Linked DNA regions of Arabidopsis thaliana. The protein of the gene in region 2 interacts with the protein of the main gene of each other region in a biochemical or structural test. Each region holds a gene or a part of one and is shown on either strand. Other genes may lie near its edges.

Region 1 (7,008 bases), on a different chromosome or scaffold from region 2:
TGTTAAATTGTTAACTCTTAAATTTCAAACGTAGTAAAATAATTTTGGATCTTTTTTTTTTTAACATGTAATGGCAAACACATAAAAATAAAATATTGAGGTTCAAAACAATAACAAACTTATTGATCCATCTCACTACATATTAACAACAATCCATTCTTATTTTTAAAACAGATGTTCGACAACAAGAGCTTCACGATCGCGGCTCTATCAGTACTTGTCAGCTCGCTATTGACACCGATCGCGATAGAATTCATGTACGAACCACAACATATCTTTAGTAGTTACCGAGATAGGAACATGTTAACCTTGAAACATGACTCTAAGCTGAAGACCCTTGTGTGTATTCACAAGCCTGACCACATAACATCCATGGTCAACTTTGTGGAACTTTTTAACCCAACACAAGAATCAAAATTAGAATGCAATGTTCTTCACCTTGTGGAGCTCATAGGTCAGGCCATTCCTACCTTCATTTCCCACAAGATGCAAAAGCCGAAGGTTGGAACACGCTCTTGCTCCCGCAATGTCATAACTGCATTCTTAAGCCTTCGTAGACATTTAACCAAAGAGGCAATTTCCATTGACATCTTTACATCTGCTAGCTTGGTAGAGCACATGCACGAGGACCTCTGTTGGCTTGCCCTTGACAAGAATGTAGCTCTCGTTGTACTTCCTTTTCACCGTTCTTGGTCTGTTGACCGCTCAACCATTGTCTCTGACGACAAGGCCATGCAGAATCTCAACCACAAAGTCTTGAAAAGAGCGTCTTGCTCTGTTGGAATCTTCGTCTACCGGAAACCTTTATGGGAATCTCAAATGCACGGCTCATGTTACAAGGTACTTGTTTTTTTTCTTTTGTAATTAAGAGATCTCATGGTTAATTTTTGGGGTCGTCTGGCTTCCAACTCAAAACAAACCGACGATTAGTATATTTGGCCCATGTTTTTTCTATACTAGTGTTGGTACCTACACATTTCTTCCGATGTGTGATCTTAACAAGTTCTAAACTGGTCTCGTGGTTTGTATTTCAGGTGTGTGCAATAGTTGTGGGAGGGAAAGACGATAAAGAAGCCTTAGCATTCACCAACCGTATGAGGAGAAACAAGCAGACAAGCGTAACCATCTTACACCTCATACCTCAACTTACTACCGAGGAAAGCGAAGACTCGGTGCAGAAGTTGGATTACGATGACATAAAAGAGATAATGAAGACTGAGGATTCAAATGAAAATGATTCATGGATATGTATAGAAAAAAGCGTCAAAGAAGGGGCTGAGACTTCAGTGATACTTAGATCAATAGCGTATGATTATGATTTGTTTATAGTTGGAAGAAGTAGCGGAATGAATAGCGCAGTTACAAAAGGATTAAATGAATGGACAGAGTTCGAGGAACTTGGAGCCCTCGGAGATGTTATAGCGTCAAAGGAGTTTCCTTCAAGGGCATCTGTCTTGGTCTTGCAACAGCAACAATATTAGAATCTTTTTGTTTTACCATGTTATGAATATCCAAAGCACAAATTAGGTTCCTAGAGTTGAGTCGGCGATCCATATAGGTCGTCTGTACTGCTTTCTCGGGGTTAAAATTCTTTATTCTTTTACCAATCAAACAGAGAACAATACATAGAATCAAGATGTGAATGGTCTTGCAACAACAAAGCAATAATACAGCCAATGAACCAAAACGTGATATATCAAAGCAAAAGAAACTTAAGACTTGAGACTATAAACAAAACATAAATATTACTTCATTTAACCATACAATTTGTCGCTAAATTACTATATAACATGGTGTTTATTCAATAGAGAATCAACAATCTCGGTTACATCATCACTAGAATAGAAATTAGAGCCCTGGAAGTTATGAAACATGTAAGAAAGGTACACAATCAATATAGTGCAGAACCGGATTTGACTCACGTTAGAGCAAGCGTTATAGAATCAAGTAAATGACTTGATGAATTCAAAACCTTGATTTAAAAGTGATCCAGTGATCCACAGCTTCAGGTTAGGCAAGTTTAAGCTCTGTTCGAAGCATGTCCCCTGTTTCCACCACACAAGAAAACTCGGTAAGTAAACGGTATACTCGGAAACAAAACAAAGTAAAAGGGCACAAGTTGATTTACATCTAAGGTATATGTTAAGAGGTATGTGTCCGGAGAAGGAGAGCTTAGGTTAGAGTTCTGCACTTGGAAACTTGTAAGAGACTCCAAAGACTTGTAAAGAGATGGAGCAACACCTTCTCCTTTGTTACACACCAATCTCACATAAAACCCTTTCTCCTCCACTTGTATAACATCCATCTAACACAACAAAACATACAAACTTTAAACACTTTGATGTTTCAAGAAGATTGATTGGTTTTTTTAGGTTATTACCTGAATGATTTTTTTGGAAGCAGGAGGATTGATACCGCGAAAAGGTTGAGTCTTTTGAGCATCAGGAGCATGTTCTTGGTACCCTCCAGTAGAGTTTAAAGAAGCTTCAAGACCCGCGATATCGGATTTGAGTTTCTTCGCTTGTGACTGAAGTTCTTGAACATACAACACTGCATCTCCAACAATGGATGCTTTATCCATCTAAATGCCAACACACACATACTTCATCAATATTTACAGTTTCATTAGTCATTACCAAATCTTGAAAATGTTGTGACTTACCTTAGTAATATTGGGAACAAGAGATCTCAATGCATAAAGCTTATCCTTCATACGCCCTCTCCTTCTTCTCTCAGAGATCAAAGTCCTAGACCGATCAGTCTTCGTCTTACGGGTCCCATCATTATTCGTAGTAGTGGCTGAAGAATCATCACCGTCGTTGTAATCTTCTTCATCTTCTTCACCACCGGCTCTAACACTATCACCGTCGAAGCTACGGAATGATTCAGCAACGTTGGAGTCTAAGTCAGGCAATTCGTCGAAGAGGTCATCGACAGGTGTTGGGATGAACTGGTTCTCGTCTATGAAACAGGGGCTGTTTTGTAATGGACCAAGATCGAAATCAAGAACTGGGTTTTCGTCAATGGTTTGATGATCTCCTCTTATGAGGTTTATGAACTGATCGAAGTTTGGATCGACCAAGAAATTGTGAAGTTCGAGATCGTTTATGTTTGACAGAGCGTTGACTCTTCCTTCCATTTGTGTGTTTTTGTCAATGAAGAAAAGTTGTTGACAACGAAAGAGAGACAAAATGAGTTTATATAATAGAGTGAGTATGAAATAAACTGTATTAATTAACATAATAAGTTAAGAAATCAATTAAAACAAATTTAAAGAAATGTACTCTTGATAGTTGGTTGATATTAGTTTATTCAGTTACGTCTTGTAATGTCATGCATGACCTGTATATTATATGTATAAATTATGTTACTCGAATGATTAATTTGTCGTGTTGCATGACAATTATATTTCCACATTGTTCTTCTTTATATTTTATCATTTGAATTTTTTTTTGTGGTGGAGGGAATGCAGATTAGAAACAAGAGTATATGTTGATCAAAAAAAAAAAAAAATATATATAGAAATAACACACATTTTTGGTCATGTCTTTATTGGGAGAAGTTTTTTAAAATTATACTACTTTCCAAAAATATCATTTTTATCCATTTTCAAAAATACCACAAATATTTAGAGTTTTTTAAAGTTATAAAATATACCAAAAATATTACTATATAATTTAGTTTATGAATACATTATTATGAGTTTTGGTTATTAAGACCTTATATAGGCATATAGCATGTATATTAAGCTCATAATATATCCTGTTACTATATAATTTAGTTTATGAATATATATGAGTTTTGGTTATATAAATAAATAAATCGATCAGACCGTATTAAAAAGGTGTTCATAAGTAAAAGTTTACTACGATATTAGACGTACAAATGTTAGTGTACTGTTTATATTTTTGAATTTAGATCCACATATATTCTTGTTTATTAAAATGTTAGGAATTAATTTGCAATCGGCTTATTACAACTGTAGATGTCAACTGGTTTAGTTGTCACAAGCTAGAATTTTAACAAAAGTTTTTCTCAACATTTTTATGTTAGTGTATTTAAAAAGTACTCCAATATGATAAATATGTTTTGTAGAAAAACGGCCAAAATTAATTTCAAATATAAACTTAAACCAGCATAATTTTCAAATAACAAACCAACTCTGGAATATAATAGCATTTCAATTATTTTCTTTTATTTTTGATAAATGCATTTCCATTTTTCAAATCATTTAAGGATAAACCGCAATTAAATTATGAAGAAGCCTGTTCAATGCACGGTTTTCGTTCTTGTCTCAACAAACAAACAAAGGATAGCAAAGAAAGACAGTATAAAATATTAAAGTCTTGGCCGGTTAGGACAAAAATCAACTCTTTATAATATTTCAAGTTGGAATATTTTTTCAGGTATATAACTGTAAAAAAAAAAAAAAAAAAAAAGTCAACCAATTATAGATTCCATCTAGGTGTTGAATTTATTAGAGAAACTGAACTTTTGAGCAACATTGGATTTTTGGGATACTCCACAACTTTCAAAAACATCAACCAATTTCCAAATAAATATTTGAATAATGCTATTATGTCAATTTAGTAGATGTTTGGTTAGATCGTGGCTGTAAATTTCGGTCTGTAATGTTTCTGATATAATCTTATTTTTGCTGTAAAATTTTTTTTCACATATAGCCTCTAGAGTTTAAAACAAATAAAAATTGTTGTAAAAACAATTCATGAATATGGCATACTTTGGTTCAAATATATTTGATACATGTGAAGCTAGCATAATTTTTACTGAAATTCTTCCTATTTCGTTTTTTTTTTGCCACATGATTATCTTTCAGTACTCCAACAAATATGACAACTCTTTTTCTTTTCTTCACTAATTGACATTTGGAACAAATACAATTTTGCTGTACCTATCACATCTTTAGAAACATAACTCTGAATAAGTCACAAACTTATGAAGCAAAATATTTTGACAAACTTTTTTCTTTTTTCCTTTTCTTTTTCCTCTAACCTTTATGCATGTCAACTAGCAGATAACTTTTAATTTGTTCACCCCAACAAAAATGGGGAAAATATGAAAACTCCTTTTCTTCTCTATACAGACATGGAACAAATTCAATTTTTATGTGACTTATCAGCACATCTTTAGAAACACAACAGCGGATAAGTCATGACTCATGAACATCAATAAAGTATTGTGTCAGATTTTCAGATAACCGTAACTATCGGTTACAATTTTGAAAACCGAAATGGCATGGATTCACTAATAAAACCAAACCTACCAATGACCACACCAATCAGTAAACAATGACCACACCAATCAGTAACAGTGGTCCATCCATCTTCTTCTCATCTCACATCACATCAAAACATTAATACCTTTTGTTACCAAACTTTTTTTTCTCAATTTACTTACACCTTTTCTCTGCCCAATACCAACATTTAGTGCTCTCTCTGAAATCTTTCTATCCTTTTTATGAAACTTTTTTGCCATTTCTCTTTTTCTCATTCCACCTTTCTAGATTTACAATCAAAATGGAGAAAGTTGCCGCCACAATACAAACCAGCAAAAGGGTCTTTTTAGATTTCAAATTTTTCAAAAAACACGCCTCCTAAACTTGGTTAAGGCTCTTCTGAAGGCACTTTCGATTCGATTCTAACTCGTGCTCCTGAAGCAAGCCTGTTCAAGATACATACAAGATTTAATAAACCTGATATGAATCAAGATAAGATATGTTCATATCAATATATTGAACAAGATTCAAGATGTTTATGTTTCACCTTTCGTCGATCTTGATAACTCTCTCCTCGTCTTCTCTGAATGAATCGGGCTTCCTTAAAGACTCGGTTATTCTTTTACTGCAAGCATCATGTGTTTTAGTGGTACATGGAATGTTCTTGGTAGTATCTTCTGATGAGTCTCTTCTCTTTTCGGAGACAAGTGGTTGTTGCTTCCCTAGAATAGAAGACGCCTTTCTTGAGCTTGGATTATTTTTAGAACTATCCGGTTTTGAGTCTCCATTCTCTGCTACACCCATTTGGTTGGATGCCCTGAAAAAACTCACATGAGATGTGTCCTCAAGAATTCACAGAGACTAAGTATACTACTCAAATCAAGAACCTTTCCAATCACATATTATGACCCTAACAAACCAAAGATAGCTTGTTGTAATTTTAGTGGGAAACTAAAGGCAGAGACTTTTTTTTTAAGCTGTGATTTTGGCACAAGAACACAAGAACTGTCTTAACATCAAAACATAACACAACATCCAACAATCACTAGCAGGAGTGTTTTTCAGAAATGTACCTGTCACCATTGTAGGATGAAGAACGCTTAAGAGAAGCGTTACTATCCGCTGCATCCTTCTTCTGTAGCTTAGTCTCCACTAAGCTCCCACTAAAATACTCTTTCTCCTCCATCCTCAGGCCCATTAGACTCGGAGTTTCCGACAAACGGTCAAGATCTCCCATCATAAACGACGAGGAGAAAAAAGGAGACGGAAACTTCGAGTGTCCAAATTTCGGTTTGTAAGTAGGTACAAGGCCGAAATTGTTATCCTTGACTGATATTGAACCACAAGATATCAACTGCATCAGCATATTCGAGGCCCTAAGCCTCGGAATAGCGGGCATTCGAACATCTTCTTGTTCAAGAATCCTAAAACTATTCATCTTACTAACATCAGCTCTTATTAGAGACTCCAAAGTATCAGTCTTTCCTCCTAGCGAAGAAGCACTATTGGAAAAAGGCGGCGAGACAGAGTTTCTTGATATTTCCGCACTCTCCCTCTCCTTCCCCGCACACGAAGCCTCACTCACGAGGTTATTCTCGCTGGTTTCAGGCTCTGATGACACATCTTCATCAGTTGATACACCTCTACTAAAAGTCTCTATAGGTGTTTTAGAACGACCACTCACAGTTTCATCGGTTTGAGTAGAAGCATCTGCGAGTCCCTCGCTCTTATACACTTTGTACTCAGCCAAACACCAGGAAGATGAGTTCTTA
Region 2 (8,605 bases):
GAACATTCCTCATATTCATCTGCACGAAAAGAAGGGCAACAAAGAGAAATGGCATGGGGCTGAAATACAGGTGGTTATCGAAGGAAACTGGACAACATACAGAGTACGTGGTCTAGCTCGTCCTTCTGCTGTATATTATTTCTTAAGTGTTCATTAGACATATATGCACGCAAACTTGTTTAACACATTTTATTTTTTTGTTGTATCCAGTCAAAGATCTTGCACTATATGCGCCAAATGGCTGTCATTACTCCTTATGCGCAGTTTCTGTTTAGATTTATATCAGAGACACCAGAGTAAGATCACTATCTTTCTGTTTTTTTGCTGCTCTGTCACATAGCTCTTTATGTGCAGCATTATCGGGTTTTTAAATCTTCTTTTCATGTAGGAAAAATGTCACTATTAAGTTTACTCGAAGAACGGATGTGATGCCCCCTATTCCTATCGAGACAAAGCACCATCCATCGTCAGTTGACTTGCTGCTTATCAAGCGCCTTATTACAGACACTTCCAAAAAGACCCTTCTGCAGTTTCTTCAAAATGAATTTGTGAATATTAACAAAACCCTTGCAGCACGATTAATTGGTAATATGACATCAATCTCATTTGTTACATAAGTTTGAAGTTGTTTAATATTCCCCCTCACATCACATTTGGCAGTACTTTTACTTGGCCAATGGAAATGATCTGATATCCAATTAAGAAATTCTGTATCACATGTCCTGATGGATTAGACGGATTATTATATTCACTAAAAATGTTTGCTGATTCTGAATGGCAATTTTCTGCTTCATTTTGCTGGTTATTATTCTGAGAAAATCATCCATGCCTTTTATATTTACTAAGCCTGTGCTATCTCTTTAGTCAAATTCAGTCATAAGTATTCTTGTTTTCTTTCTTTCAGGGGAAATGGGACCTGATTTCGGGCCTAGCATGGCTGTCAAATCTGTGACATCTCAGCAAATGGTACGCATACATCAGTTATTCCGCCAAGCTAAATTCGACGACCCTAGTGGTGATGTAAGCAGCTACTTTCTCTCTAAGGTTCACTGGGAACTGCTTTATTATCTCTATATCTCTCTCGAGGGTCTTATAAAATTTCAAGTTAGAGCATCTGTATTGTTTCGAAAATTAGCTCTATTCATACTGCGGTTTTCTTCTGTAGTGTCTTAGCCCAGCAGGAGAATACAATCTTCGTCTAGGGATTATTAAGGAGCTACATCCAGATATGGTGGCAACGTATTCCGGCAGGTTGTCACTGCAACCCTCTTTTCTACGAATTCATCTGATTTAGATATGGAGTTTATTTTTCTTATAGTAATCTCATATGTCAAGCTTTACCTACTTTGTCGTTAATCTGAGCTTTGTTTCATCAAGTGTTGACTTCTTCCTGGAAACTATGTTTAGTGCTCAGGTCTTCGAAGGTCATCCTTTCATTGTTGAAGCTGGTGTTAGTTTGGGTGGAAGAGACGTGAAACAGGCAAGTCATATCCTCCTTTTGTTTATTCATGTGTCATCAAGTTCTCATAGATTTAAGGTTGCTCTAAGTATGAGCATGAATCCACCATAACCATTGCTCTTTATCTTTTGTCGATCTCACTCTTCTACTATCTAATGGGTTATTTTGGGAATTTGCTGGAACTGAAATGGCAGGGGATCAACATATTCCGTTTTGCAAACCGTATTCCTCTCCTTTTTGAACAAGGAGCTGATGTTGTCACCAGGACGGCCTTAAAAAGAATCAAGTGAGACTCTTTCTTTAGCTTGCTGTATTCCTCTCTGTATATCGTTATAGTTGGTATCTTTCTCCAACTTTTTTTTATTAATGAGTATTTTCAAAACATTGCAGTTGGAATAGTTATAAGATCAACCAGACGCAAGATAAAATAGGAGTATTTGTGAGCATAGTGAGTACAAAAATTCCATTCAAAGGGACAGGGAAAGAGTACATAGGAGATGACATCAGTGAGATAGCTACTGCAGTCAAGGTAACATTAAGAAAAGATTTTTCTGACGTTATCCCACATCTTATTAAATCTAACTTTCCGCCTTTATTTCCATCAGTCTGCAATTCAACAATGCTGCATCCAACTGAAATCCAAAATAGTCAAGAGACTGCAAGCCCGTGAACAACAAGAGCGAAAACGCAGTTTGAGCAGGTAAAAAAGATAATCAGTGTCCTTCCCATTTTATGCTCCAACCCTGAAAAAAAAGATAACCAAAACTGGAAATGCTTGCAGATACATCCCCGATGCAACGGGGGCAGTGTACGAGGTTCTAAAACAAATGACAGAAGAACATAAAACAAAGAGAAAACGTTACGGAGAGGAAGACATAGTTATGCTTGATAAAGTATCTAAACAGATAATCACAAAAGAAACATTGAAAGAAAAGCTAGCTGAGCATGTAGAACAGGTCTTTTTTTTTTTTGCATCAATCACTTCTCAGCATAAGTTTCTACTGCATCATCACTTTTAAGTCATTCTTGCTGAATATATGTGGTGGTTTCAGGTGGACTACGAGATGGCATTAGAGTATGCAACACAAAGTGGAGTAAGTGAAGAACCCAGAGAAAATATATATCTCCAACACTTAGATCCCAACAAATCCAACTTCATAGATCTTCATAGTCCAACTTTTGTCTTCAGGCTCATGTTGTAAAACATATTTGCATCTCTCTATTAGTCAATTCTTTTCTTTCAGTGTTTTTTGGGATATTTTAAGACAAACACTTGAAAAGTGGAAAAAAGAAGACATAAAATTTAACACTATGTTTGGTTAGTTTCAACAAATGTGTCGAAGAACGTGATAATAATTAATAAACAAAACAATCAAGAAGCATGAAAACTTTTATTAAAATAGTTTTCTCACCTCTTGAGAACAGATTTGTCATAATCGATAATAGTTGTCGATGATGACGAAACTTTTTCTACTTGTAATAAAATATAATTGTAAAAAAAGTGTGCGTTTTTTTTTCTCTCTACCGATTTTAATGAGAGGTATGGATAATGGATCTTTTCTTTTCTAAAACCCATTATTCCAAAAATGAAAATAAAAAACGTAGCACAACAATAAATAAAACTCCGCGTAAGAAACAATTAATTACATACCGCGTAAAATAAAATAAAATAAAAAAACAAACGAAGAGCAGTGAGTATTGCCAAAAGGCGCTTTGTTAATTACATATTAATTGTGTAATAATAATAATAAATGATGTCTTAAATTTTATGTGTAAGAAATGAAATTAAAATGATATATATGTATATTATATATCTAAACATATATATATATATATAAATAGAGTATATATACTATGATCTATCTTCCTGATCTACAGAGAGACTCCACAAAGAAACGCAAATAAACAAAAGTCGCTTTCTAGCCACGTGATCTTTCGTCGACTTTTCTTCTTCTTCTTCTTCTTCCTCTTCCTCATCTCGTATCTCTAACTTTTGTCGAAGTTCTTTTGATGAAACTAGGGTTTATTATCTTCTCCTTCTTTTTCCCATCACCATAGAAAAGGCAGAGACCTTTTTCTTCATCATTTTTATTCTCCTTCTTCTTCTGCTGTTCATTTCTCCAGGTACTATACGCTTCTTCTTCTATTGATTTTTTAGGGTTATTATTGATACTGAAGATGATGATAGGTTTATTCATAGGGTTTTACTAGATCGATGGTTTTACTTTAGTTTACTAGTGTTTACACGATCTAATTTCATGAGTTTATGCTACTTTTAGTTTTTTTTTTGGTTGAATTTTTGTTTATTGTTTATAAATCGTTGATCTATTTGAAAATGTTTTCTCTTTCTTATTCATATATGATCCTTTCTATATTTGGTTCCTATGTTGAAGATCTCATCCTTTTTTTGGAAATTGAATCTGTTGATAATTTTTATTATCCGATTGATTATTTAGTTTAGGAGTGATTAAAATACGATCTGATTATGTGTTTATTACTTAAAACTTTGATTGAATTCGAAAAGCCCCTTTTTTATAATTTAGGGTTTGATGATTTTTTTTAGTAAGTTGTTTGATTCAGAAGAAATATAATTGTACTGATTAGTTTTGTTTGTGTATTTGATTTGTTACAGGTTACAATGATGTTTAATGAGATGGGAATGTGTGGAAACATGGATTTCTTCTCTTCTGGATCACTTGGTGAAGTTGATTTCTGTCCTGTTCCACAAGCTGAGCCTGATTCCATTGTTGAAGATGACTATACTGATGATGAGATTGATGTTGATGAATTGGAGAGGAGGATGTGGAGAGACAAAATGCGGCTTAAACGTCTCAAGGAGCAGGATAAGGGTAAAGAAGGTGTTGATGCTGCTAAACAGAGGCAGTCTCAAGAGCAAGCTAGGAGGAAGAAAATGTCTAGAGCTCAAGATGGGATCTTGAAGTATATGTTGAAGATGATGGAAGTTTGTAAAGCTCAAGGCTTTGTTTATGGGATTATTCCGGAGAATGGGAAGCCTGTGACTGGTGCTTCTGATAATTTAAGGGAGTGGTGGAAAGATAAGGTTAGGTTTGATCGTAATGGTCCTGCGGCTATTACCAAGTATCAAGCGGAGAATAATATCCCGGGGATTCATGAAGGTAATAACCCGATTGGACCGACTCCTCATACCTTGCAAGAGCTTCAAGACACGACTCTTGGATCGCTTTTGTCTGCGTTGATGCAACACTGTGATCCTCCTCAGAGACGTTTTCCTTTGGAGAAAGGAGTTCCTCCTCCGTGGTGGCCTAATGGGAAAGAGGATTGGTGGCCTCAACTTGGTTTGCCTAAAGATCAAGGTCCTGCACCTTACAAGAAGCCTCATGATTTGAAGAAGGCGTGGAAAGTCGGCGTTTTGACTGCGGTTATCAAGCATATGTTTCCTGATATTGCTAAGATCCGTAAGCTCGTGAGGCAATCTAAATGTTTGCAGGATAAGATGACTGCTAAAGAGAGTGCTACCTGGCTTGCTATTATTAACCAAGAAGAGTCCTTGGCTAGAGAGCTTTATCCCGAGTCATGTCCACCTCTTTCTCTGTCTGGTGGAAGTTGCTCGCTTCTGATGAATGATTGCAGTCAATACGATGTTGAAGGTTTCGAGAAGGAGTCTCACTATGAAGTGGAAGAGCTCAAGCCAGAAAAAGTTATGAATTCTTCAAACTTTGGGATGGTTGCTAAAATGCATGACTTTCCTGTCAAAGAAGAAGTCCCAGCAGGAAACTCGGAATTCATGAGAAAGAGAAAGCCAAACAGAGATCTGAACACTATTATGGACAGAACCGTTTTCACCTGCGAGAATCTTGGGTGTGCGCACAGCGAAATCAGCCGGGGATTTCTGGATAGGAATTCGAGAGACAACCATCAACTGGCATGTCCACATCGAGACAGTCGCTTACCGTATGGAGCAGCACCATCCAGGTTTCATGTCAATGAAGTTAAGCCTGTAGTTGGATTTCCTCAGCCAAGGCCAGTGAACTCAGTAGCCCAACCAATTGACTTAACGGGTATAGTTCCTGAAGATGGACAGAAGATGATCTCAGAGCTCATGTCCATGTACGACAGAAATGTCCAGAGCAACCAAACCTCTATGGTCATGGAAAATCAAAGCGTGTCACTGCTTCAACCCACAGTCCATAACCATCAAGAACATCTCCAGTTCCCAGGAAACATGGTGGAAGGAAGTTTCTTTGAAGACTTGAACATCCCAAACAGAGCAAACAACAACAACAGCAGCAACAATCAAACGTTTTTTCAAGGGAACAACAACAACAACAATGTGTTTAAGTTCGACACTGCAGATCACAACAACTTTGAAGCTGCACATAACAACAACAATAACAGTAGCGGCAACAGGTTCCAGCTTGTGTTTGATTCCACACCGTTCGACATGGCGTCATTCGATTACAGAGATGATATGTCGATGCCAGGAGTAGTAGGAACGATGGATGGAATGCAGCAGAAGCAGCAAGATGTATCCATATGGTTCTAAAGTCTTGGTAGTAGATTTCATCTTCTCTTATTTTTATCTTTTGTGTTCTTACATTCACTCAACCATGTAATATTTTTTCCTGGGTCTCTCTGTCTCTATCGCTTGTTATGATGTGTCTGTAAGAGTCTCTAAAAACTCTCTGTTACTGTGTGTCTTTGTCTCGGCTTGGTGAATCTCTCTGTCATCATCAGCTTTTAGTTACACACCCGACTTGGGGATGAACGAACACTAAATGTAAGTTTTCATAATATAAATATATTTGCAAGCTCTCTTCTTCTGTGTGTTTTTGTTGAGTTTGACTTTTACAATTGAAAAGTTTGGTGTAATTCACGCTAACTACCTCAAAGTTAGGGAATGGTGGGATAATTATTTATTACAATTGTATTTGATGGATAACGTGCTTATCGCTAGTGGCTCGTGGGTAGCATTTAAGCATGGGTCAATGCTTGTGTCTACGAGCTCGAGTGATCGAGCACACACAATCCAATCCGAACACAAAACAAGAAGAAAAACAAAATAAGATCTTAGATGTAAGGTATTCTTAAATACCTTTTTTTTTGAACAATATATATTTCATTTTTTGTTTGTAATTATAAAATGGTCCTAGATTAGATTTTAAGTTTTGATTGATCATTAAACTAAATTTGTTTTTATATCTGTTTCTATCTTCTTTACTCACGCAATGACGCAAATCCTTATTTGAAACGGCTTGGAGAGGTTACTATTATTACAATAGGAACATGATAATAATAATCATATTTGATTGTTAACGTTCTCGTCGCTTGTGGCTCGTTGGTAACATTTAAGCATGGGTCAGTGCTTGTGTTCACGAGGTCGAGTGCTCGAGCACACATTTCCAAACCAAACACCAAAAAAAAGAAAGAAGAAAAAAAAAGGACCTTACATGTGAGGTATTCTTAAATACCTTTTTCCTGATTGTCTTTTTAATTGAACAATATTCATATGTTTAATATTTATCTATTTCAATTTTTTTTGTCCATATTATGGTTTATATATATTAATTCAGCCATTGAGATTTTGATAGCACAAATACTTGTCAAGCTTCAAACCATTAACAAGTCTCCAATCCTTCTCCTTAAAGTCATACCACATAAACCCAAGAGGAGCTAGAGTTATATACATAAATCACATAATCTATCACACACACATCGAACATCTTTATTGCAATAGTGCTCACATGCATGTACCATCTCTTGGATCATAAACTATCACTTCACTTGTCCATAACTCCTAGAATATAAGATCTTTCTCTCTATTGAGACAGAGATAAATATAGTGGGATTGTGGCGCCACTTCCAAAGTTTGTGTCTTGTGTCAAACACTTCCGGTTTGATCTCTTCGCACCCTTTAAACACGTAAATCATTTCATGCATCAATTAATCTCACAACTATGAAATAGCGAGCCACTCGCAAACTTGGACCTTGACGCAACTTTTCACACAGGGTATCAAGGATCCACATGTTCCTTGAAACATAATTGTAATTACCCAAGGGAAGTAAAATCTCATGAATCATGACCAACCATTAGAGCAGCAGAACATAGCTCAGCCTGAGTTAACCAAGTATTTATTAGTTCAGAGGATAGTCAACCGAAACCTAATCTTTAGGCAAAAAAGTCAACAAAAAATATACTCCAATAAATATATAGCAGAGACTTCGACGTTGGCGGGAAATTTATCGACGTCTCTTCGTCTTCTCGCCGCCGTTAGGGTTTCTTTCTTATTTTTATAATCTCTTCGTTTCACCTTTTTCCTTTCCGTCTCTCAGATGATTTTTTTCTAAAATCATCATGAGAAACTCGGTGAAATGGGAAACGGAATTAACCGGAGATCGCAGCAGGAGAAGAGAAGCCGATGAGTCCTCGGAGACACCAAAGATCGTAAAGAAGGAGAAGCGTAGTAAGACCGTAATTGCTTCATTACGGCCTCAACAACCGCCGATTCAGGAAGAAGAAGAACAAGGAATTGCTGATCGGAGAGCTATAAGATCTCAGTATCTTGCTCTTACCCACAAGATCAAAGGTTACATTCTATTTCTTCTACTTTAGGGTTTTTTTTAGGGTTTTTTTTCTGACCTAACTTTTTTTTGGTACAGATGCTAAAGATGACTTGACAAAAATTGATTCTAACAAGTTCAACAGTATCATTAATGAGGTTGAGAATTTGCACCAGAAAGGTAAATGTAAACTTGTCCCAATTCGTTTATATATATATTCCTAAGTCTTAAACTAGTAGATGTTTCTTATTTTGGATGAACCTAAAAACTGTTCTTAGTTCTTATGTTGTGTATTTTAGTTGTAGCAAGGATAATTTTATTCACTGATGATATCTTTTTTTGGTGCTTTTACATTTTTATTGCAGTTCGGAAGCCTAGAGAGCAGATTGCTGATGCGGAGGCGCTTTTGGATTTAACGAATAGTGTGGTTTCATCGGTGAAATCGCAATCAGCTCATGGTGGTGTTTCTCCAGCTGAGTTTGTTAATGCCTTGATCAATGGGTTTGGCAAAACTTCTTTAAGAATTGATGCTGATGAAAATACACAAGTGTCAATGAAGTGGAAGGATCTTGGGTTTACGGTCTGTTCCACGGTTTTGGTATCAT
Region 3 (8,914 bases), on a different chromosome or scaffold from region 2:
AGAAAAATTTCAAGTCTATATGATCGTGTATTTGTGTCTGCATGTTTCAAAATCATTGAAAAGACCCTTCCTAAAAAGTAAGCGAATCCAAAATTGTATGTAAATTTATATACATATGTATATATATGAACATATGTTATTATAATTATGAATAAATTATTGCTACTTAGGAACTCAATCAACAAAAGATACATAGATTGAGGCGCTTCTACAAGGTCATCCTAGTCACTTATTAACCTAACATATGTAACACATTGTATAAGCTATTCGAGCATGCCAAATCAATCAAGATCATTATATCATGTTCGACGATCTATCGAAAGTGTACACCAATTGATGATTCTCTATTTCTCTAAATCTAAGAATAACTCGAATTGGTCACATACAAATTTGGATCAGGTAACAGATATATTTTTATTTCATGCAGTTAGGAAATAACATATGGGAAATTTATATCTTACGTTCCACATTGTTCCCGAATCCCGACTAATGTCCCTCTCTTTCAACAAGGTGATAGTAAGATCTTCATTTAATCAACCCGACTCTCTACTTAAAAAATTTCAACCATTTTCTCTAAGAAGTCAGAACACTCCATCATCCCCATTCTAAGCTCAACATAACAACATAACAAGAAAACTGTCATCTTTGTTATCTCATTTCTCGAAGTAAGGGGGGAAATCTCTATATTTATCCCACTAATTATTCATTACTTAGTGGGATATTGTTGTTTTCTAGTGGCGTCACCCCCAAAGTCGACATGAAATATGATATCACGAATCACCTAGCCAAAACTTAGTGTAACATCTTCTCATAATTTTCTTATAGTAAACATGTTCAAAAGTCGACTCACAACCACCAGACAATGGTTTGGTTGTTTTCTGTTTGTTGAATCGTTCATTGACGAGTTCACCCAATACAGATGTCTCAGAAAATTATATTCAAAAGTTATTTTGGTTGTTATTTACAAAAAATGGTATACTAGATCCCAAAATTATTTTACTATTTATTGTTGGTAAAATACTCTTTAGTTTAATATGGTTTTAATAAGAAAAATCAACCGGAGTATCATTAATCTGAACGTATAAAGACATATCATTGAGTTTATCACAAGACAACGTAAATCTACAAGAACACAATAACATAAGTTTAGTGTTTTGTTAGTAAGAATTTGTCTTCGCAAGATAGAATTTTAGAAGTATATATATATATATATATATATACTATTTTATCTTAATTCTTTTTGTTTTATTTTTGGTTTTTAGGTAAGGGTTAGGAGTAATGGGACCATATTGGTGGCATGCTAAATTATTGTGATAAATTTATGCATGGAGGAAAAGATGCCAAATGATTTATGTTATTCACTCATACTCACCTAATGACCTAATCCTTGAATTATTGTTCGAACTTTAAAAATAAAATTTTAATATTGTAAATTAAACAAACAATATAACGTTGTTAGCATGTGTTTATCGTGAAATGTGAATGTAACTAAAAATATTATAAAGGAGTTCTTCCTTTCTTAAAGCATATGCTAATAATAGCGTTTGGTCAAATTAATAAATTATTAGTTTATTTAGTCGTCAACAAATTAATTAGTTAAGCAGACAAGAATCGTTTTTGGAGATAGAGATTCTCACTTGCATTTCACTCTCTTGCAATTTAACATATTAAGACAAACACAAATTTTTGCTTTAGTGAATTATTAGCAACGACTCACGTTATATAGATATGCAAATCTCAAAATTAATTAAGCTAAGACACAGTATTTGATAATTGAGATTACAAATCTTAAATTTTGATTTTTAATATTTTAAAATAACATTATAAAATAAGTAATTAATCTGTTATAAAAAATATATTCTAAAAGTTGACAAAACGACAAATATAAATCGAAAAAATAGGTGAAAAGTTATAGTAAAGTGTTTTTCCACTGAGCTCACAGTTCACTCTTTGGTACAAAAGAAACAATCAGTTAAAATCTAAGTCAATCATTAAAGAGCGTGTGATACACGTGCGACCAAACAGCCGTACGATCTCACTCACTTCCGGTCTTAATTCTTACCGCGTCGATCCAACAGTCGATGGGGTTAAATCGGGATGTGAGTTCATCGAAGCTTCTCTCTCTCTTACAACCATCCACGTTTCCCAATGAAATCTCGCCACGTAATATCCCTAACAACAAATTTACACATTCACCCTCAAGATCAGTTACACATATAATAATCGCAGACGCTCTCCATTTTTCTCCACTACGAAGACTTTCTCCTATCTCTCTCTCTCTCATTAAAAACGTGTTTTTTTTTACCGGTCACCGGTTTATGGAATGACTGATTACCGGCTACAACCAACGATGAATCTTTGGACCACCGACGACAACGCTTCTATGATGGAAGCTTTCATGAGCTCTTCCGATATCTCAACTTTATGGCCTCCGGCGTCGACGACAACCACGACGGCGACGACTGAAACAACTCCGACGCCGGCGATGGAGATTCCGGCACAGGCGGGATTTAATCAAGAGACTCTTCAGCAACGTTTACAAGCTTTGATTGAAGGAACACACGAAGGTTGGACCTACGCTATATTCTGGCAACCGTCGTATGATTTCTCCGGCGCCTCCGTGCTCGGATGGGGAGATGGTTATTACAAAGGTGAAGAAGATAAAGCAAACCCGAGACGGAGATCGAGTTCGCCGCCGTTTTCTACTCCGGCGGATCAGGAGTACAGGAAAAAAGTGTTGAGAGAGCTTAACTCGTTGATCTCCGGTGGTGTTGCTCCGTCGGATGACGCTGTTGATGAGGAGGTGACGGATACGGAATGGTTTTTCTTGGTTTCGATGACGCAGAGCTTCGCTTGCGGTGCGGGATTAGCTGGTAAAGCGTTTGCAACGGGTAACGCGGTTTGGGTTTCCGGGTCAGATCAATTATCCGGGTCGGGTTGTGAACGGGCTAAGCAAGGAGGAGTGTTTGGGATGCATACTATTGCGTGTATTCCTTCGGCGAACGGAGTTGTGGAAGTCGGGTCAACGGAGCCGATCCGACAGAGTTCGGACCTTATTAACAAGGTTCGAATTCTTTTCAATTTCGACGGCGGAGCTGGAGATTTATCGGGTCTTAATTGGAATCTTGACCCGGATCAAGGTGAGAACGACCCGTCTATGTGGATTAATGACCCGATTGGAACACCTGGATCTAACGAACCGGGTAACGGAGCTCCAAGTTCTAGCTCCCAGCTTTTTTCAAAGTCTATTCAGTTTGAGAACGGTAGCTCAAGCACAATAACCGAAAACCCGAATCTGGATCCGACTCCGAGTCCGGTTCATTCTCAGACCCAGAATCCGAAATTCAATAACACTTTCTCCCGAGAACTTAATTTTTCGACGTCAAGTTCTACTTTAGTGAAACCAAGATCCGGCGAGATATTAAACTTCGGCGATGAAGGTAAACGAAGCTCCGGAAACCCGGATCCAAGTTCTTATTCGGGTCAAACACAATTCGAAAACAAAAGAAAGAGGTCGATGGTTTTGAACGAAGATAAAGTTCTATCATTCGGAGATAAAACCGCCGGAGAATCAGATCACTCCGATCTAGAAGCTTCCGTCGTGAAAGAAGTAGCAGTAGAGAAACGTCCAAAGAAACGAGGAAGAAAGCCAGCAAACGGTAGAGAAGAGCCACTAAACCACGTCGAAGCAGAGAGACAAAGACGCGAGAAACTAAACCAAAGATTCTACGCGTTACGAGCGGTTGTACCAAACGTTTCAAAAATGGATAAAGCTTCGTTACTCGGTGACGCAATCGCTTACATCAACGAGCTTAAATCCAAAGTAGTCAAAACAGAGTCAGAGAAACTCCAAATCAAGAACCAGCTCGAGGAAGTGAAACTCGAGCTCGCCGGAAGAAAAGCGAGTGCTAGTGGAGGAGATATGTCGTCTTCGTGTTCTTCGATTAAACCGGTGGGGATGGAGATTGAAGTGAAGATAATTGGTTGGGACGCAATGATTAGAGTTGAATCTAGTAAGAGGAATCATCCGGCGGCGAGGTTGATGTCGGCGTTGATGGATTTGGAGTTGGAAGTGAATCACGCGAGTATGTCGGTGGTTAACGATTTGATGATTCAACAAGCGACGGTGAAGATGGGTTTTAGGATCTATACGCAAGAACAGCTCAGAGCAAGTTTGATTTCAAAAATCGGTTAAAAGGGTGTGTTTTGGGAAGTTTAGAAAGTTATGGGGTCAAATCATAATTAATTCGTTTTAGTGGCTTCAGTAATTTTGTAGATTTTAGTTTTGTAAGAAAAAAATCTTAAAATAGAGCGACAAGTTTCTTCTTTTGCTCTATGTTTGAGTCTGTATCGTTTTATTGTTGTATCTCCTCAATGAGTAAACTTGTATATATTGATATGAGTAATATGAGTTAGTTACTGAAAAAGTTAATATTTCTACACAATTTCATATGATAAAAAAGAAAAAGAAATCGAGTATAAATGGTCTAAAATAAGAGACTAATGGTCATGATCACTGATTTTGTACATATGGTCAAAAATGTCTCTCCTAACACATCAAACTTAGGAAGAGAGACAAATCTTAAGTAAGTTAAGTCGAGAGGGAGACCATATGCACAGTTTTCTTAAGTCAGTGTGATAATGTTTCCTCTTGTCTAATCAATAAGACACAACACACATAAACCTTAGTATAATACTACATGGATCTTCGAATACACAGACAGAGTCACAGACAAGAAAAAGCAAATCACTTGCTTTTGTCTTGATCATTTCCAATATCTACAAAAATAGAAATCTTGAAGAGATTATTGAATCTGAAATCTGCTTTGTTTGTGCATTCTCTTCCTCGATCACCTCGCAAGATCCTCTAGCAACCTGACCAATCCTCAAGAATCAAGTTTTCTTCTTTCTAGCTTCAGCTTTCCAATCTCGACGATGCGGCCTTATCTTCCGTTTAACCGACTCACAAGAACTATCTTGAGCCTTGTTCATAATCAAATGAGCTCTTCTAGCTTCTTTTTTCCAATTTCTATCGCAATAAACCCGCCGCACAAAGTTCTCAACATAACCACTAGGTCCATTAAACTCTAGTCCCTCGTCTTCTTCTTCTTCTTCTTCTTGTTTTCCCATTGTCTCAAACGAAAGATTATCATCGTTACCCGCTTCTTCTTCCCGCATCCGTTTCCTGGCTCGATACCTACGTTGTCTTTCTCTGTTCTTCATTCGACGGATCATGACTTCATCTTTGTCTATCAACCCTTCTTTCTCATCAATGCTCAAACCACCATTGCTCATCTTTCCTTCAATTCCAATTACTCAAAACACTGATAAAACAAACCAAATTCTATTATAAGGTAATGCATTTAAAGGAAAGAATCTAAAGCTCTATAAAACCCTAGAAGCTTCTTAATTCAAAAGCTGAAGACACAAAACACACACAAATGTAATTTTGCAACTAGAGGAGGACCAAATTAGAGATTCGTTAATAGCAATCAACCAGAAATGTAAGACTTCCAAAGAATCAAAATTAGCTAATCGATACAACTAAAAATGTTATTTTGCTTTGCTTTCAAGTTGAGAAAACAGAGAAGTTCGATACTCAAAGAACCTGAATGATTAATTCGATGATTAGGTTAAGAGGCTAAAACCCATATATTACCAATCTCAGTGATTGATTTACGAGAAGAGAAATCCAAAAAAAACAAAATCAATAAAGGTCATACCTTTGAAGCTTCAGTGAACAAAGAAACTAAATTTGCGATTGCCCGACTCGGTTCTCTTCTTGCTCGAGTGGTTTTGGAGATTTATGAACGAGAAAGAGAGAGATTGTTCTTTGTTCTGACTATAGATTGATGAAAGGAGGTACCTTTCTCCCAGACAGAACATATGACCGAGACCTTGTAGGAACATTTTAGGTTTCATTAGTTATATCTGAATTAAGCTAACAAAATGGGGTGGTGGCGCAGTTGGCTAGCGCGTAGGTCTCATAGCTACTGAGTGATCCTGAGGTCGAGAGTTCGAGCCTCTCTCACCCCATTTCTCATTTTTCTTTGTTTTTGACCATTTCACTAAAACTCCATCCATTGATGAAAATTAGGGCTTTGTCTTCAATTTTTCTTTCGCTCTGCTGAGAGACCTGACCTAAATCACGGGTTTAGGATCCTGTGGATTCGATTTTCTTCAGGTGAAAGGCTTTTCTTCTCATTATCATTGTTTCTCCGACCAATTTAGTGGATAAAGACGTAATGTGATTGTTGCGTTCGATTTCAGATGCGACTGATTCGGTTTTAGATGCATAAGTGGATAATGGGTATTCTAGATTCAGTAATTGAGGTTTCATAGCTGTTAAAGATTAAGTTTTTGGCTGATACAGGACAATATCTGATCCTGTAACTGTTACTTACTCTGTTCCTCTTTGAAGCTTAAGGTTTTAGATCAGAATTTGTGAGTTTAGTCTCTCTTGTTTGAGATGGATAGGACTTGTTGGTATTATGATCAGTTAGGTGTGAATAAGATTGGGAAGAACATAAAGAAGAGTCCTTTACCACAACCACAAGGTTATAGCATGAGCAACAATGATTTTACAAGTATTGTTCAACAGCTTACGGATTCTCCGTCGCGTGAGAGTTTACCTCAGCCTCTTCCTCGGAATCTGTTGAAGCCTCAGCAGAAGATTAGACCAGTGGGTCAAATACAGATAAACCGGCCCTGTGTTCCTCCTCCTGTAATGGCTCAACCTACTCATGAGTTTGTTGCTAGACCTCCAATGCATCCTTTGCCACATGGTTCACAACCAATTATCAGTCATGGAGACCAGTTTGGGTCTAATACAGCTGAGTCTTCTGTCTCGGTGTATATGCGTTATCGTCAAAGCTCACTTGGAGATTCTGGACCTAATGAAAACCAAATGCAGCCATCTCATGACAATCAACAGCAGCCACAGGTGGAAGGTCAAGCTCAATCGCATAATCATCATTCGCCACGGTTCAATGATTCTGCACGAAACACACCCATTTTGCCAACTCCTAAGTTCGACGGTCCGCCACAACAGATGCATAATAATAGTCTTCCTTCTCCTCGATTCAACGGTCGAGGGATATTACCTACTCCAACGTCCCAATATCGTCCACAATCTCCAACTGCTTACCGGAATTTGCTCTCCCCTAGGTCACCTTCTCCGCTGCTGTCTACAGGAGTTCAATATCCTCCACCACTAACACCAAGAAACTATACATTCTCATCAATGGATCAACCTGGAATTCTCGGTCCGGGCACAATTCCTCTGCCTCATGCATCTCCGTTTGGGGTTATACCAATATCTAGTCAAAGATGGAGAGGTTACTAAGATGCTCCATCTTCTTCACTTGACTCTTAGGTTAGTGTCTCTCTACTATCAAAGGTGCAATCTTTCGGAGCTTATAGGTTACAGCAGTACAGAGCTGTTAAAACACTACTTTATTGTGCCTTTGAGAATACGAAAGATCTTAAAGTTGAGCAATTCGCTATAAAATAAGGAGTTAGTGTTTAGTAGTTTCATATATTTTCATAAGGAGTTACATAAGTTTAGTCATACATCCCAACACTTTCAAATGACTAGAAAATAAAACTTCAATGAACTCGTTTTGTTCCTTATTGTACACAAAAACATTGTCCTCTTCTTCTTTACTACGACATCGCACCACTACAAAGACTTCATCGTTTTTTGCTATGCATACAAACCTAATATCAACGGGTTCGTCATCGTTTCCCGCTACATTCATCCACGGGTCGCTATCCCATCTCGCAATCTTCTTGCCGCTTCTAATTTCTCGTCGACATACACATAAATTGTCATCTACACTTGGGTAGTGATTGATAACACATAGTTCTCCCCTTGAAACATCTAACCATGAATTGAACTCCAATCCTGATAGCATCATCGGAACGTTTAGTTTTGAGTACTCTTCATTAACGAAATCAAAGCATAAGATGAATTTTTCTTTGTTGAACCGGTTTGCTATCCAATACATACAATTGTCGACAACCGTACCGGTCCTCTCTTTGAAGAAGCAATCACTAGAGGGAATTAGTTTGCTTTCTCTCCAAGAACTTTCTTTGAACGTAAAGATATAGGTTTTCTTGTCGATAATCGTCACAATTTTGTAATCATCTAAAACCCGGTCATAACCGAATCCCAAAAGATTTTGGGTTTGACCCCGTTTAATCATCGGTACTCTCTTGAATTTTGTTGAAGTAGGTTTCCAAATAGCTAACTCATTGTTGTCTTTGCGGGTGAGACATATCACTCCACGGCAAGAAAGAATACAGACTGGTTCAGTTTGGGCCGGTAATGTAAAGGGCACGTTTAGCTTCAAAGACGTGGTTTCATTAAGGTCTAGAAGGTATAAACCATCTTTGTGCAATGAAATGAGCTGAGATGATTGTTTATTCGACATTAGAAAATTGATCAAAACAGATATATTTTGGTTATTGTCCGGGAAAAAGATATGTCTTATGACTATATATGGACAACGAAGTTTTATTGAGAGCGTGATTACATAGTTATTGCATCATAATTTTCTGTATAACATCAATGTCGACATATAATACGTATCCACACTTTTCATTGTACCTACGATACGTATGTCAATGCACCGTTAACGTCAGTGGTATCTACTTTGTCAAAACGTTATACAAATTCATATCACCAATTACCAAAGATACTTTCGATATCAGTATTATATTACTCATGTCGTTATAATTTCCTTAAAAGGAAAGTTAAAGTTTGTTCGATGGAAACATATTCTTGTCTTAAACAATGATATCATACGCAAAAGACATATTAAATGGGAAAAATCTTACAAAATATGAATTTAAGGTGTTAAATGAATCTACATAATACATGATATCTCTTAATCTATTTTATTTCTTTTGT
Region 4 (7,594 bases), on a different chromosome or scaffold from region 2:
CTAAAGACGAAAACGTCGAAAAAGATGATTGGCTAAATGGTTGAACCAAACTAAACCGGTTGTTTAACTTACCGGTTTGGTTCGATTACTCAATCGAATCGGATCGTGCACACACCAAACTCTCTTCACCAGCTTCTGACACAGACTTTGCAACTCTCATGACGGATCTTTGCTTCTAATTCACTATTTCTCGGCTAGATCTGTGGCAAAACCAGAACCTCAATGTTTCTAGTTCCTCGTTAATCGAATCATGGTGGAGAATTTGTTTCCTTCTCGATTTCAATTTCATCTTCAGAGACTTGACCCGAAGCGTCGTCTTACTTCTCTCCTTGCTTCTCACAAAACACTCTTCACATTTCTCTGGATCACTGCCTTTGGTTCCGTCTTTCTATGGCAGCGAACGGCTTACATCGAAGGCGGCTCTGGAACTGGTCCTGTCGGAGGAAAGTTCACAATTTTCGGTAAGATCAAACCGATTCAGCCAATTCCCCGATTGAGACCTGTGGTGTTTGATTTGAAGGATTTTGGAGGTGTTGGAGATGGGTTTACGCTTAACACTGAAGCATTCGAGAGAGCTGTGATTTCAATCTCTAAGCTTGGGGGAAGTAGCGGCGGAGGTCAGCTGAATGTGCCGCCTGGACGGTGGCTTACGGCGCCGTTTAATCTCACTAGCCATATGACTCTGTTTCTCGCAGAGGATTCCGAGATTCTTGGTGTTGAGGTTTGTAAAATGTTTTGATTTCCTCTTGTTTTGCTTTCATTTCGAAACAATGAAACGAATGCAAAAGATTGATTGGTAATTGTTTACTGAAAGTCAGACTCTTTAGCTCTGTTTAGGTCAGAATTGCAGAAATTTAAGCACCACTAAGCTTGGAACATTAGATTTGTAGGTTACAGGTCACTCACTCTAGCCAAGTTAGAGTACAAATGACTGTGTTTGCTTGTTGTGTGAAGGAACATAATTTAGGAGATTTTGAGACTTTGCGTGATGGATGTGTGCGTCTTGTTTACTTAACGTGTCACTTTAATTGTCAGGATGAGAAGTATTGGCCTTTAATGCCACCATTGCCTTCATATGGTTACGGTAGAGAGCGTCCGGGACCTCGTTATGGGAGCTTAATCCATGGTCAAAACCTCAAAGATATTGTGATAACTGGTTAGTGGTTTTCCTCTTTCGAGTTCATGTTTGTGAAATTGTGGTAACCGTGTTAGTAACTAAGGGGTATAAGGAACAGGTCATAATGGAACAATAAACGGGCAAGGACAATCGTGGTGGAAGAAGCATCAAAGAAGACTTCTCAACTATACGAGAGGGCCTTTAGTTCAAATTATGTGGTCTAGTGACATAGTTATCGCTAACATTACAATGCGTGACTCACCGTTCTGGACTCTGCATCCATATGACTGCAAAAATGTAACAATAAGGAATGTCACCATCTTGGCTCCTGTAACCGGAGCACCAAACACTGATGGAATTGATCCAGGTATGTTCATTTACCGCTTATATCTGTTTTCCGGTTATTCTGTACTCATTTAAAACGTTTTGAACCATCTTGTTTATTTCCGTAAACAGATTCGTGCGAGGATATGGTAATTGAGGACTGTTACATTAGCACCGGGGATGATGCGATCGCGATAAAGAGTGGATGGGATCAGTTTGGGATTGCATATGGACGACCTTCAACAAACATTCTTATTCGTAATCTCGTTGTTCGCTCTGTTATCAGGTAAAGTATTTTCTCATTTCTCATCTTACACCGCAAAACTTTGAAAACGTTTTCTTTTAAAGCAAAAGAATGAAAGTGTTCTATATGTTTTGACAGTGCTGGTGTATCAATCGGAAGCGAAATGTCTGGTGGAATATCTAATGTGACGATCGAGAACCTTCTGATCTGGAACTCACGCCGTGGAATCAGAATTAAAACGGCTCCAGGACGAGGCGGTTACATCAGAAACATAACCTACAAAAACCTAACACTAGACAATGTTCGGGTTGGGATAGTGATCAAAACGGATTACAACGAGCATGCAGACGATAATTATGATCGGAAAGCATACCCGATACTTTCGGGATTCAGTTTCGCGGGAATCCACGGACAAGGAGTGCGAGTGCCGGTCCGGATCCATGGAAGCGAACAGATTCCGGTAAGGAATGTGACGTTTCGGGACATGTCCGTTGGGTTAACGTACAAGAAGAAACATATATTCCAATGTTCGTTCGTGAAAGGACGAGTGTTCGGTTCGATATTTCCTCGACCTTGCGAGAATTTTGATGTTTACGACGAGGAAGGTCGTCTGGTTAAGCCTGCAGCTGAGTCCAATGTGGCGGACATTGACTACGACATTTGAATGTTTTTTCAGTTCATTGTCATTTGTGTACATAAAAGTAAATTTTGGGACACAAAAATGAAAATTATTTTTCTTTGGACCATTTCTCTTCGTCGTTGGGGTTTTCTCATTCTGATAAATAGTTGTAATTTTAATTAAAGTAATAAATATAAATATTTATCACAAATAGGTCAACTAAAGATAATTCGTTGATGAACAAGCAATATATTAGAACAAAGGAGTTAAGTTGCTTTATTGATCGAATTAAAGAATAAAATTTGGATGAATACAGAACTCAAACTCATAAATGTTGTTGAGGTTCATAGTTTTGCAGTAGAATGCTTAGAAAAATCAAAATCTCCATGTTGAGGTTATTAATATTGAAAGCACGTGTTGTTGTATTCGACTCAATTACTAAACTCGCATGTTAACGCATGACACATGATAATATCGGCATATTCAGTGAACCAGGTTGGTTCATGATCCCTTCCAAAGCGGACTCACACCTTAGACTCGGAGCTCACACGCCAAATCGCTCGGCTAGGTTTTGATAGCCAACTCCGGCCAAAAAACCAATCGCGAGAATGTGGTTTTTGATTGACCCAACTCACATTTTGACCTAGCACGAAAACCAAACACCAACATGAAATAAGATAAACTATTCAAAATATCTAGTTTTATATAAAAATCTTAATTTAATGTCACGAGAAGCATGTTCGCACTACTAAAGTTAATTAGCACAGTTTCGAACATTTATATATGTATATTCTGCAGAACACCGACGACTCCAATAATGGTCACGACTCACGACCCATGTGGAGTAATAGTTTTCCTTCTTTTTTAACATTTATAAATTTTAATATTTATTTTCGAAAGGCTAACAAACGCATGCGTACCTTTACATGAAACAAAAAGAAATTGTAGAATAATATTGTTTGAACATTTCTAGATATTCATGTGCATATTGTTCAAAACTTGTGTATGATTGTATCATTGATTGTTACATAAGTATTTGTTAAACAAATAAAAACTATACAACGTGGCTACGTATCAATCTATGCTTAGCAAAGTCAACCATGTAAATTTTGTAAGTATTACCTTACTCTAAGAAAATAAAACCCTAAACGAACAGATAGGCTTGCACCTGTATAATATATTAGACATTACAAGTCTCTACAATGTTGGTTTATCATTAACAAGGACTAAACAATATACTATAATCATACAATAAATTAAGAGTCGTAAATTAATGGTAAACTCAACTAATGCATGAATAGTTGTAAAAGTATATATATTTGGACACGTTACTCAACTTGCATCGCGGATCTGTATTCCTTCCCAACCACTACGTACACGCATTTCCCACGAGTTTGACGATCTTTCTCGTTTAATCTAATCATATCTACTTTTATAGGCTCCATAGCCCACATTTCATATCTTATAGTACGTTCCAACTTCTAACCAATAAACTCAAAACTAGTTGAGTTTTTTAATTAGTGAAATATATCTTGAATTTTATATATCTAATCTTGCACCAATAAAGTTTCTGTCAATTATGTAAAAGAAAGACTCGTTGTATCAGTATGGGACGACTTTTTCTTCTGAATTGTGTCGATCGAGTCCATATTATAATACTTTGTCACGTACTTTGTTTACTGATTAATTTAATATAATTGTGTCGCATTATCCAAGTCTAATTAAACATTAATGTGTATATTATACACCAAGTTACAATTACAGATCTATCTCTTAGTCGTTTTATTATGTATAGCCTACAATGAAACATGACATCAACGTATAGGTGAAGCTGAAGCCTATACATAAAAGTAAGGTTTTGGAGTTTGTTTCATGTTTTAAGGTTTTAGATATTTTGTGATCGATTTGCATGTATAGGGTTCCAAATATCTGAGCTTTGGCTTGGTCTACTTTGAGAAAGCAGCTGTAGAGATCAACTTTAGCCGTTTAGGTGATAAAATCACATTAGAACTCTATAGGTCGCGTAGCAGCGTATAAGAGCCCTGGATACTGAAATACAAGAATCTCTCCACGCGTAGAAAAACGAACCAACCATGATAAAACACGTGTCATATCGAATAGGTACAGACAACGTGCACTTGCCAACCTTCTTTCCTTGTAGTTTCCTTCTTCTTTGCTTCTTTTTTTCGTTAAATATTGATATTGTTCAAAAAACGCATAACAACAAAAACGTGGTCGACGGAACATGTGGGTGGTGGAGTTGTCTTCTTTAGGGGACCACTCACTAACGCCGTTTACTTTCCCGCTTGGACGATAACACCCTTGATATATGGATTAGTCTCTCTTTTGCTTTTGGATATCTTAATATATTTTAATATGTCCATTTTTATATTGACGACCATTTAATTAGGTCTCAGTTTGTATTATTGATTTTTAGGTGCCAAGCATTACTTTCGTTACGTGTAATCTTTTGATTATTCAATCAAATTATCATATGGTTCATGGCATTTTATCAATTGTGACGGTCGACATGTGGGTTGACTTTGATGTATGACTTTTAGCTTGTGCCTCATTTTTATTCCAACTCGACAACTAGCAGACTTTATATTTTAATTTATTTCTTTCTAGATATTAGACAATTCTTAGCTTGTCTCTCTGCATGAATCACGCGTTAATATACTTATAATAGTAAGTTTTAAAATGTTTCGAGTATAATATCATATTAGATTTCAATTATAATTGTAAGATTATTTAGTCTCAATGAAGAGCATTTAAAAATGTGAAAGAGTTTAGGCTTTGACTGTTGACTGGTTCTAACGCGTTTTGCTTCTTATTTATACAAAAAGATTTTATTTTATTTTAATTAGAAATATTAAGTACTTTTTAGACGTGTTTAGGTTGATTAATTTCTTGTTAACATATCCGATAAAAAAAAACAGCACCAAAATCACGACGAGAATTATGCCTACGTTACGTTGATAATAAAGATTAGAGATAAAATGTAACCTCTCTTCTCTTTACATCATTACATGCATCTTGTGTTTTATTTGACTTTATTCTTACCAACAAACAACCAATGGATAAATTAGGCTCGTGAAGGAGGGCAAACTCGTAATTTCAAAGAAACGGAAAGCGTCAGAACGTGGAGAACAGTGAACCGAGACACATTCCCGATTTTTCTAAAGAAACAAAATAAAACACGTGTTTTTTATACCATAAGTAAAGTAGTAGTATTTATTAAACTATTAATATATAGCTTTGTTATATTGGAGGTAGGAAGAAGAACTCTGCAACCAAACCAACCAACCCCAAAGCCAAACAAAGTTTTATAGAGACCTTCCATTTCTCCCTCTCGTGACAAACGCAATTTGCAGAGAAGCAACAGCAACAACAAGAAGAAGAAGAAAAAGATTTGAGATTACTTTGTATCGATTTAGCTATTCGAGAAACTCTTGCCGTTTGAAAGTTTTAATTGTTAAAGATGTCGAGTTCTATGGAATGTTCTGAGTTCGTCGGTAGCCGGAGATTTACTGGGAAGAAGCCTAGCTTCTCACAGACGTGTAGTCGATTGAGTCAGTATCTAAAAGAGAACGGTAGCTTTGGAGATCTGAGCTTAGGAATGGCATGCAAGCCTGATGTCAATGGTAAGAAACCTTCTCTTTCTCCTAGATCCACTTCTTTTTTCGTTTTCTCTGTTTTTTATTTCTTGAATCTTGATCTTGAAAACTTTTCAAGAAAATTTTGAATCGATTTCAAAGAAATTAGGGAGAGTTAGTTTGCTAAATTTTGACATAGAAAATGATTGGAGAGAGTTCTAACTTTTGGATCATATATATTTGCAGGAACTTTAGGCAACTCACGTCAGCCGACAACAACCATGAGTTTATTCCCTTGTGAAGCTTCTAACATGGATTCCATGGTTCAAGATGTTAAACCGACGAATCTGTTTCCTAGGCAACCAAGCTTTTCTTCCTCATCTTCCTCTCTTCCAAAGGAAGATGTTTTGAAAATGACACAGACTACCAGATCTGTGAAACCAGAGTCTCAAACTGCACCATTGACTATATTCTACGCCGGGCAAGTGATTGTATTCAATGACTTTTCTGCTGAGAAAGCCAAAGAAGTGATCAACTTGGCGAGCAAAGGCACCGCTAATAGCTTAGCCAAGAATCAAACCGATATCAGAAGCAACATCGCTACTATCGCAAACCAAGTTCCTCATCCAAGAAAAACCACAACACAAGAGCCAATCCAATCCTCCCCAACACCATTGACAGAACTTCCTATTGCTAGAAGAGCTTCACTTCACCGGTTCTTGGAGAAGAGAAAGGACAGAGTTACGTCAAAGGCACCATACCAATTATGCGATCCAGCCAAAGCGTCTTCAAACCCTCAAACCACAGGCAACATGTCGTGGCTCGGTTTAGCAGCTGAAATATGAATGCTAACCACCCTCAAGCCGTACCAAGAAATTCTTTTGACGACGTTGCTTCAAGACAAGATATAAAAGCTCCTATCTTCATGCTTTTTGATTTAAGATACAAACTACTCAATGATTAGGAAACTTCATATATTTGTATGTATTGATTAGTGATCAATTATTGTTAGTATTCGTTATAGTCTGTTTTTCTACTAGTTATTGTCGCCTGTCTAAATCCCCTTGCTATGGGTTATCTCAAAATTAGTTTCGTATGTAACTAATTTTGTAAGAACAATAATTTTTGTTGACGAACCATACTATCAAATACTCTAAATTATATCTTGATAAATCTACCTATCAGGTAAGTAGGTGTGTTTTGTTTTCATTTGTTTACTTGTTACCTACTAATCTCATATTTTATGATTCAAATTCAAACCCGTGAATTATGAGTTAGTAGGTAGGTTTAACAACATGTCAACAACTAAAGAACAACGTGACATCTAAACCAAACCAAAACTATAGAGAGTTCAGAGTAGTCGTAGTCTCGTAGAGATCATTCATATAAATAAATCGCATAAACACCAAAATCAACTCTTAATTCTTTCCTAATCATCATTAATCTCTAATGGATTCCGAAATCGCATTCGACTATTCTCCGAGGTTTCGTATATTCAAGAACGGTGGCATCGAACGCCTCGTACCCGAAACATTCGTCCCACCGTCACTAAATCCCGAAAACGGCGTCGTATCTAAAGATGCCGTCTATTCACCGGAGAAAAACCTCTCTCTCCGCATTTACCTCCCTCAAAATTCCGTCTATGAAACCGGCGAGAAGAAAATCCCACTACTCGTCTACTTTCATGGCGGAGG

Evidence for each region.
Region 1: the proteins of EIN3 (region 2) and FRU form a complex in vitro, tested with the Arabidopsis thaliana proteins (one study listed by BioGRID).
Region 3: the proteins of EIN3 (region 2) and MYC2 form a complex in vitro, tested with the Arabidopsis thaliana proteins (one study listed by BioGRID).
Region 4: the proteins of EIN3 (region 2) and JAZ1 form a complex in vitro, tested with the Arabidopsis thaliana proteins (one study listed by BioGRID).

Annotation. Positions count from the first base shown.
Region 1 is NC_003071.7:12,000,844-12,007,851, reverse strand, and holds FRU (FER-like regulator of iron uptake), read right to left. Parts: upstream 3,195-7,008; 5' UTR 3,140-3,194; coding exon 2,663-3,139; intron 2,582-2,662; coding exon 2,381-2,581; intron 2,306-2,380; coding exon 2,129-2,305; intron 2,046-2,128; coding exon 1,944-2,045; 3' UTR 1,857-1,943; coding exon of another isoform or gene 1,849-1,856; 3' UTR 1,576-1,848; downstream 1-1,575. Other genes in the region: ATCHX7 (Cation/hydrogen exchanger family protein), read left to right, coding at 175-840, 1,035-1,481; AT2G28150 (UPSTREAM OF FLC protein (DUF966)), read right to left, coding at 5,625-5,682, 5,784-6,053, 6,310-7,008. UniProt on the Arabidopsis thaliana protein: Transcription factor. Essential protein involved in iron uptake responses. Regulates FRO2 at the level of mRNA accumulation and IRT1 at the level of protein accumulation. Confers enhanced iron mobilization responses at low iron supply.
Region 2 is NC_003074.8:7,258,081-7,266,685, reverse strand, and holds EIN3 (Ethylene insensitive 3 family protein), read left to right. Parts: upstream 1-3,301; 5' UTR 3,302-3,583; intron 3,584-4,091; 5' UTR 4,092-4,097; coding exon 4,098-5,984; 3' UTR 5,985-6,257; downstream 6,258-8,605. Other genes in the region: TOP6B (topoisomerase 6 subunit B), read left to right, coding at 1-103, 211-296, 389-585, 905-1,020, 1,166-1,251, 1,408-1,480, 1,654-1,745, 1,850-1,988 and 3 more; AT3G20760 (Nse4, component of Smc5/6 DNA repair complex), read left to right, coding at 7,795-8,026, 8,100-8,180, 8,366-8,605. UniProt on the Arabidopsis thaliana protein: Transcription factor acting as a positive regulator in the ethylene response pathway, by promoting histone acetylation in an ENAP1-dependent manner, thus accelerating the expression of ethylene-responsive genes. Binds DNA.
Region 3 is NC_003070.9:11,794,323-11,803,236, reverse strand, and holds MYC2 (Basic helix-loop-helix (bHLH) DNA-binding family protein), read left to right. Parts: upstream 1-1,829; 5' UTR 1,830-2,323; coding exon 2,324-4,195; 3' UTR 4,196-4,893; downstream 4,894-8,914. Other genes in the region: AT1G32630 (FAM50A-like protein), read right to left, coding at 4,894-5,295; AT1G32610 (hydroxyproline-rich glycoprotein family protein), read left to right, coding at 6,470-7,345; AT1G32600 (F-box associated ubiquitination effector family protein), read right to left, coding at 7,554-8,435.
Region 4 is NC_003070.9:6,616,527-6,624,120, forward strand, and holds JAZ1 (jasmonate-zim-domain protein 1), read left to right. Parts: upstream 1-5,250; 5' UTR 5,251-5,305; intron 5,306-5,393; 5' UTR 5,394-5,785; coding exon 5,786-5,948; exon of another isoform or gene 5,949-6,146; coding exon 6,147-6,745; 3' UTR 6,746-7,094; downstream 7,095-7,594. Other genes in the region: AT1G19170 (Pectin lyase-like superfamily protein), read left to right, coding at 251-721, 1,036-1,156, 1,236-1,484, 1,574-1,727, 1,824-2,349; AT1G19190 (alpha/beta-Hydrolases superfamily protein), read left to right, coding at 7,350-7,594.